Linked DNA regions of Sus scrofa. The protein of the gene in region 1 purifies or fractionates together with the protein of each later gene. This does not show direct contact. Links are inferred from orthologs where the notes say so. Each region holds a gene or a part of one and is shown in the gene's direction. Other genes may lie near its edges.

Region 1 (4,258 bases):
ATTTAATGTTGACATTGCAGTGAAAAATAAAAAGAATAATGAAACACGATAGAAACAGCAGTGGCTTTCCAAAACAATGGAAAGCCACTGCCCCCCCCCCAAACAGGAAACATAGCTACTTGAAGGGCATCTTTAAATATTCGTTGGTTTGTTAGGGGATTTTTTTTTTTTTTATTTAACCACTGGCTTGCAGTCTGTGAGCCCAGCAGAAAAATAACAAAAGCTGGCCCTCACTTAGAGCATACTATGTGCCCAAACATTTTTCTGTGATTTACATATATCAACGCATTTCTGGAAACATCCATTTTGGATGTGTTGAAACTGAGGGACAGAGAGGTAATGCAACGTGCTCAAGGTCATAGACCGAGAAGTGGAGGAGCTGAGATTCAAACCCAAGCAGTCCGGCTTCATACATCAAAGAGGAAAGCACTCAGTTTAGGTGTCGAGTTTACCTGTACGAATTATGAAGAAAATCACTTATCTCTTCTGATTACGAAAATCTCATAATTTATAGAAGGCCTGTTACACGCCAGGGACGCTAATACACGGTTTACTTGCACTGTCTCATTTCTTCCTCACAATAAACCCGTGAGGTACTGTTTTTTCTCCTTATTTCAAAGACACACACGACTTTAAGGCACAGAGATGAAAACCGATTCGCCCAAAGATTGAAACCCAGGCAGACTGACTCCACTACAAGCTTCTCAGTGTTTCCTGGCAGTAAAATGAGAGAACGGAGGACCTCAAAGGAATGCCACGAGAGTACAATGAAATAATGGATGTGAAAAGGCCTCGGTGAACAAGTGCAAGGGATCAGGCCTACCCACTTGAATCACTGTCGAAAACTGGCTACCCAGGGCCCCCGGCCAACGGTTTCGAGCCCCAACCCAGCCCCTTCTCCGCCCAACCCACGGCGATATCTTTGAATCTCTTTCTCTATCTCCTCGGCTCCTGCCCCCAAACACTGGGTTGAGGGGCGGACCGGAGAATAGAAGGTACGCGCGCGAGCAGGAGGCGGGGCCTGCCGCCCCGAGCCGTACCGGGGGTGGCTTCTGCACATGCGTCGTGGCTCTGCGGCTTCAGCTGCCCCCTCGCTGCAGCCAATCAGAGCCCGCGGCGCGCTCGAGACGTATTAACGCTGTGTGAGTCGCTGCGTGCGAGGGGGGCGACGTAAGGGCGCTCCGCGAGCCCGTCTCTCCTCGAATGAAAGGAAACAACCTCCGGCGACAGAGCCCCGCTCCCAGACGCTGCTGGAGAACCGAGACCGACTTCTTTCTCTTTCCCCTCATTGGCGCTTCTCGCCTGCCGTTCGCCTCTGGGCCCCGCCGGTGAGTCCCCACGGTACCCTGGGGCCCCCTATTCTCTGCCCGGCGGGAGAAGACAAGGAGGATGGCGGTGGCCAGGCCGCCGCCCCTGCCCGTTGTTAAGGGGGACTCTTGGTGGTCTCGCTTTATTGTCAGGGACCCCAGAAGCGCCGCTCATTGAAGGCGCTTGGCAGAGAGGCTGCGGAGAAAAGTGCTGCGGAGCCACCAAGGGAGAGGTTAGGCTTTAGGCTAGACTTCGGGGGAGGGGGCGCAACATTTAAGGAGGAAAAAAAATACTGGGAATTTTTAGTCTTGGCCATCGCTTAGGACATATTTGGGAAGGAGGGAGACTCCCAGTTTGGGAAGAGTGAGAAGAATTGTTAGGGTGGCAGGAAGGTTAGCCTTACGGAATAAGGAAAAACTCCGGGGTGGGGGGAATTAGGGGTGAAACTGAGATAGGAAGCGAAGACTGTTAGAGGGCGAACTCCTGGGGGGGAGGAGGATTAAGGAAAGTGTAGGGTGATATTTCCCTGGATCCAGGAGGATTGGCAAAGGACAATTAGGGGACCCTGACTTTACGACCGAAAGGAACCTGCTAAAGTGTTTTAGAGGAAGATAGTTTTTGCGAGTTTACCTAGCTCTTGATTAGAGGGAGATCTTGGAGTCTAGTGTATATTGAGGAGTAAATAACGGAGAGGATCTGGTACGTTATGTGTACCATCCTTTATTATATGGACGAACAGCACGGCATTCTTTTGAAATTTCTTCGTTTCGATATTCTGCGTGGAAGTTGAAAAATCCTTTATTTTCGAAAAACCTTCCCTCTTCGTCGGCTTACTACGTAATATCAGGTCTTATACACTTCAAATCCTTTCTCTACGCTTGGGTTTGAAACAACTGGAAAATTCCTTCAGTTTCCTTTTGAATAACCGCAAAAAGCAGTGCGAAGCATGTAATAATATCGTGCAGCCAAATTCAGGTGCCCTTCCGGTTCATCTCTTATTCGTTTATTTCTCTCCAGTGTAACTTTCCTGACAGAAATACTGCCTCTTGGATCGTGTTTATATGTTTTGGTCTGTATATTTATTTCAGCTTGCTTGCGTGGGGAATTGTTTGATCTTCCGAAACTGCAATTTTTGTTTTGTTTTGTTTTTCTGTAAAAATGGTCTTTCAGATACCAGCCATTGAATGAGCTCTCGAGTTGGCTCTTGAATGCTCTCCTTGATGTTTCAGGTTATTTCCACCGTGGTGCTTTACAGCATCTTGGAAAATCGGAAATGCACTGATTGCTTCAGCCTGACTAATCGGGCTTTTATTTATGCATTTTTTTCAAATGTTTGAATGATGTTTCTGACGCTGTTATCTTTGCCTCTTCATTTCTGTTTTGTAATATTATCCATAATGCTGCGTTTCTTTTAAGGAAAAGCTTTCATTGTTGGGTGAAAGCATCAAAGTTTGATCTCTGCCTGCCCTGAAAAACCTTTTAGACCAAAATTAAAATGCCTTATACTGTATGGATCATTATGAACCTCTTAATACTGGTCCTTGGAATGCCCTTATTCCACTAAAGTAGAGACCACAAATGTGACAGCAATAGATAAAAATCTGTATTTTTATGATAAAGACATTTTTGCTAGGAGTCATTGTTTCCATGATGTTCGCCACTTCATGTTTTACAAGGAGACTGTAAAAAAAAATTAGCAAGATATGCACAGATGCATTATTTGAATTTTAGTGGAAAAATCCATTTAGTCATTGCACGTTGGGGAAAGTTTTTAATTGGTTTGATGCACTTTGTGTGCATTTTGTTCACCTTACAAATTACATTTAAACTGGTAACAGAAAAAAATACACTAGGATATTTTTGAATGCAAAATAAAGTGTACCTTTTTTTTCTCTTTTAGATTTTGGCGTCTTTGATATCTAGAAAAGTAGGTTCTAAAAATTAGGATGAGAAATTTACCTGTGTATAAAATGGAAAGAGGCAGGATTCAGTGTAGGTAGGATTTGGGGTGGGGGGGCACCATTTTCAGAATTAATTTCAAGAATGAAAAGCGATTTTCTAATCTAGGAATTTACTTTATCTTAAGCTGGTTTTATAGCTTATGCTAGGGTTGTACAGAAATTACACATTAAGATGTCTGTATAGATCGGATTCATAATGTGCCATCCTTTCAACTAGCCAAGTATGACCGGGAGAAATGCTGTGTACACTACAGTGCTTTTAGAGTGCTTACTGTTCATTGCGTAGTAGTGAAGAAAGCTAATTTAGAACTCAAATAGCAAATTTTGCTGCTATTTATGAATTTTGGTGTTTTGCATATTTAATTCTAAAGGTTTTGGCAGCTATATTCTTGATAAAGCAACTGAACACATATTTGCTTGAGCAAATGCAAACACACTTCCCCTTTTGTTTCTTTTGTTTCTCTGTTATGTTCTTTTTTTTTTTTCTTTAATCCTAAAAGTATTTGCTGCCTGTTTTCAATCAGTTTCACGGTTTATAGCCAGTGCTATGAATACAGTATTGTTGTAAAGTATCTGATGCCATTTGGAAGAGTGAGGTATTTAAAATTGTAGATACATTAAGAGTTTGTTAAACCCATCAATGCAGAGACTGTCAGAACATTTGAAGTTCCATTAAAGAGAAAAACCGAGATATAAGTTGATGGAGAAGACCTGTTTCTTTGTGGCTTCCTGTGAAATTTTAAGTATCTGCATTTTTACATTGGAAAGCACTGAATGGTTTGCATCTACCACCTTGCTAGTGTCCAGCTGCTGCTGCTGCCGTTGGTGAACAAGTGCTTCTCAGAAAGCAACAGTATGGTAGTAGTGAATCCATTTTTTCAACACAGTGTTATGAAAATGTTCAAATATAGAGAAGAGTGGAAAGAATTTAGTAAATTTTAAGACAGAAATTTGAGATTTTATTGATTATCATGTGTGTTGTGGTAACC
Region 2 (3,811 bases), on another chromosome or scaffold:
CGTTCTTTTCTAAGAGGCAGATAGCCAGAATGAATGGCCTGGCTTTAAAATGACATGAAAATTCTTCCTCTTCCAATGGAATGCAAACTCTCTATTAAACGCAAAGAGGGATGTGGGCTGAGGGTGGTTTTCTCCAATTTGCCTGTTTGCTGCTCCATTTGAACTATGGGAAGGCACAGTTATAAAGTGGTAAGTAGTAAGAATAGTTTTAAGAATTTATTCCATGGATAACATGCGGTGATGTGAACAGCTGGATCTAGAATGAGTGTTTATGTGTTTCTTGGTTTTGCTTAATAATAAGGAGCCAGTCAGTAACAAAGGGCAAGATGAGCAGCCACCAGAGCAAGTGGCCCAACCCCAGGCAGAAAACTCCGCCACGGCTCCATCCTCGAAAGCAAATGACACCTTAGAAGAGCGTGCAGAGGCCAAGAAGAATAAGAGAGAAAGGAAAGAAGAAAGGCAGCAGAAGAACAGGAAAAAAGAAAAGAAAGAACTAAAACTGGAAAACCACCAAGAGAACTCGAAGAGTCAGAAGCCTAAAAAGCGCAAGAAGGAGCCAGAGGCCGAAGGGGAGGAGGCCCTGGAGGCCCCCGGCTGCGCGGGGAAGAAGAGCCGGAAGAAGAGGAGCAAGGCCGAGCGCGCCCAGGAGGCGGATGGAGCCACTGAGGACCAGGAGAGGACGGCAGAAACCGGTCCAGGGAAGAGAAAGCGGAAGGATCTGGAAGGTCTGTGGCTAGCCGGTGCCTGGGGGTTCGAGTTTGGGGTCTATAGGAAGCCTGGTAGACTTAGCAGTTTGACCCAAGCAAGCCAAGGAGCATAAGGTTTGGGATCAAGCCGACCTGGGCTTAGTCTGGACAAGTGACATCACCTCTCATCTGCCTGTCTTGTCACCTGCCTTGGAGGAGGAGGCGCCCTTTGGGGCTGGGTGCTTGGGGAGTGAGCGGGGTGATGGGTGGAGGGGGCCTGGCTGTGGCGGCCTCTCGCTACATGGCAGCTGCTGTTATAAATGCAATTTTTTTTTTTTTTTTTAATCTTTGAATTACTTAGTTGAAGCAGATTCTAAGAAGAAGAAGATGAAGCTCCCAGGACATTGTGAGGGTGGAGAAGCGGAAAACCATGAGGCTCCTGCAAAAGGTGTGGCTGCCGTCACTGGAGGCTCTGCCCTCTCCAGGTTGGGGGGAGGTGGGGAGGAAGGCTGGGGCCGGCTGTGGTCCTGCCCTCCAGGGGCACATGGAAGAATCTGAAAGCGAAATATAGGACGTTCCGTATGCCTGACTCCAGAGTCATGCACAAGCGCTGTCTGGCTTTAAGGATAAAATATAAAGCCGTCTGGGCTGGAAACAGATTATCTTGGAGCTGAAGATAAAGCCGGTACGGGAGTTCCCGTCATGGCACAGTGGAAACAAATCTGACCAGGAACCCCGAGGTTGTGGCTTCAATCCCTGGCCTCGCTCAGTGGGTTAAAGATCTGGTATTGCTGTAGCTGTGGTGTAGGCCGGCGGCTACAGCTCCAATTGTACCCCAGCCTGGGAACCTCCACATACCATGGGTGTGGCCCTAAAAAGGCAACAGAAAAATAAAACAGATAAAGCCAGTACGGCTTCCTGGGACCTGCTTCCCTTGTCCCTGCCCCTCGTTACTCTCCTAGAACTAGCCTGTGGTCCAGCCTGGCCTGGCTGTTGCTGCCCCCACCTCTGGGTGTGTCCCCGCTGTCCCTTTGCTTGGAGCCCCAGGGCCACCCCTCTCCCTTAGCCAGAAGGTGAACTTGGCAGACTCCTACCCCTGGCCCTCAGGGTCCCCTTCAGTGCTGCCTCCTCCACAGAGCTGTCCCTCTGCTTGGGCCTGAAGCAGCCCTGGGGACCTGCCAGTCAAGAACAGGCCCAAGGCCTCAAATGGGAATTGAGGCTTTATTCCCAGACGTTTAGGAACTGCCCAATCTGGCTTAGATCTCTTAGCTTGAAAATTTGTATGTGTGAAGCTTTTTCATTTCATCAGATTTTTAGTTTTGAGACAATTGTAAATTCACATGCAGTTGTAAGAAATGACAGACCTACGGATCCTCCTGTGGCCTTGACCCGGTTTCCTCCAAGGGTGGTGCTTTGCACACCTTAGGACACAACTCCACTGGGGCGCTGGCCTTGTACCGTCGAGGCAAACACTCCCATCACCACGAGGATCCCTCCTGCTGCTTCTCTGGCCCCCGACCCCTCCTGTACCCAGCGGTGACCCGTGTCCCTTGACGTCCATTTACCTCCACCGCTGTGGCTTTTTCATTCAGAATGTTACGTAAATGGCATCACGTGGTGTGCAGCCTCTTGAGAGGGGCGCTCTTCACCCAGCCTTCTTGGGGGACCCTCCAAGGTTGCTGCGTGCCTCGGGCATCCATTCTTTTCACCTGAGCAGGGGTCTGCAGCTTGTCCGTTCAGCCACCGAAGGACACTGGGCCACTTCCAGCTCATTGTTACTACGAATGAAGCTGCTGTAAACATGGGTGTCCAGTTTCCGGTGGACCCGCGTCACGCTTTCTGGAATAAATGTTCAGGAGCGCGGTGGCTCTGTGGTATGGTCATTGCGTATTTGCTTTTTTAAGAAACTGCCAGCTCTTACGAGAGTGGCTGTGCCATTTCATATTCCCGCCAGCAGTGTGTGGAGGTTCCAGTTTTCCCCACGTGTGGCCAACGTTTGGTGGCGTTACTGTTTTTTATTTTAGCCATTTTGGTGGGTGTGTAGTAATAACTCACAGCAGTTGTCATGTGTACGTCCCTGCCTAATGATATTGAACATCTTTTCATTCATTTATTTTCTGTCTCTCTCTTCATTGAAATGTCTGTTCTTGTCCTTTGCCCATTTTCTGATGGGATTGTTGTTGCTTTTTTGTTTTTTTTTTTAAACTGTTGAGACTTGAGTGTTCCTTATATATTCTAAATACTAGTCTTTTGTGGGACGTGGGGTTTGCAAGTTGCACTTTGGTTTTTTGTTTTGTTTTTCAATTTGTAGCTTGTCTTTTTATCCTCTTAACAATATCTTTTTTTTTTCTTTTGGCTGTGGCTGTGGCTATGTTATGCTGAAGTTCCCGGGCCAGGTATTGAACCTGTGCCACACAGCAGCGACCCAAGCTGCTGCAGTGACAACTCTGGATCCTTAACCCCCTCTGCCGCAAGAGAACTCCAGTAGATGATACTTTTGACATCAAGTCTTAAGCACTCTTTGCCAGTCCTAAATCCTAGAGATTTTTTTCTCTTTTCCTAAATGTCTTATAGTTTTAGATTTTATACTTATGTCTATGATCCATTTTGCGTTAATTTTTATGTGAGGCATGAGATTTGGTTCAAGGTTCATTTCTTTGCTAATCAGTGTCTGGTTGGTGCACACTGTTTGTCAAAAAAGCTGTCTTTTCTCCTCAGTGAATCGCTTTTGTCCCTTTGTCAAATATCCATGGGCATATTTGTGTAGGTCTGTTCTGAGATCTTTATTCTGTTTCATTGCTCTCTGTCTATCCCTCTGCCAATACCATGCATTCTTGACTTTTAAAGTCTTGAAATTGGGTAGGCTTATTCCTCTCACTTTATTCTTTTTTCAAAATTAGATGTTTTAGAATAATCTTGCTCCAACTACAAAATAATCCTGCTGTGATTATATAGGAATTGCATTCTACCTGTCTATCAATTTGGGAAGAATTGATAACTTTACTGTGCTGAGTCTTCCAACCCATGAACATGGCACTTCGCTCTGTTTATTTAAGTCTTTGGTTTCTTTCGTCGTCATCCTGTATCTTCAGCGTATGCATCTTCGTCTTGCCAGAATCAGAAGT

What was found.
Region 2: the proteins of PHF6 (region 1) and LYAR purify together in Homo sapiens (affinity purification with mass spectrometry; 3 studies listed by BioGRID and IntAct, with this or other methods). This does not show direct contact. The link is inferred for Sus scrofa from reciprocal best matches to the Homo sapiens genes PHF6 and LYAR.

Annotation. Positions count from the first base shown.
Region 1 is NC_010461.5:110,247,881-110,252,138, forward strand, and holds the start of PHF6 (PHD finger protein 6), read left to right. Parts: upstream 1-1,210; 5' UTR 1,211-1,328; intron 1,329-4,258.
Region 2 is NC_010450.4:6,094,737-6,098,547, forward strand, and holds part of LYAR (cell growth-regulating nucleolar protein), read left to right. Parts: intron 1-301; coding exon 302-725; intron 726-1,047; coding exon 1,048-1,134; intron 1,135-3,811. UniProt on the Homo sapiens protein: Plays a role in the maintenance of the appropriate processing of 47S/45S pre-rRNA to 32S/30S pre-rRNAs and their subsequent processing to produce 18S and 28S rRNAs. Also acts at the level of transcription regulation.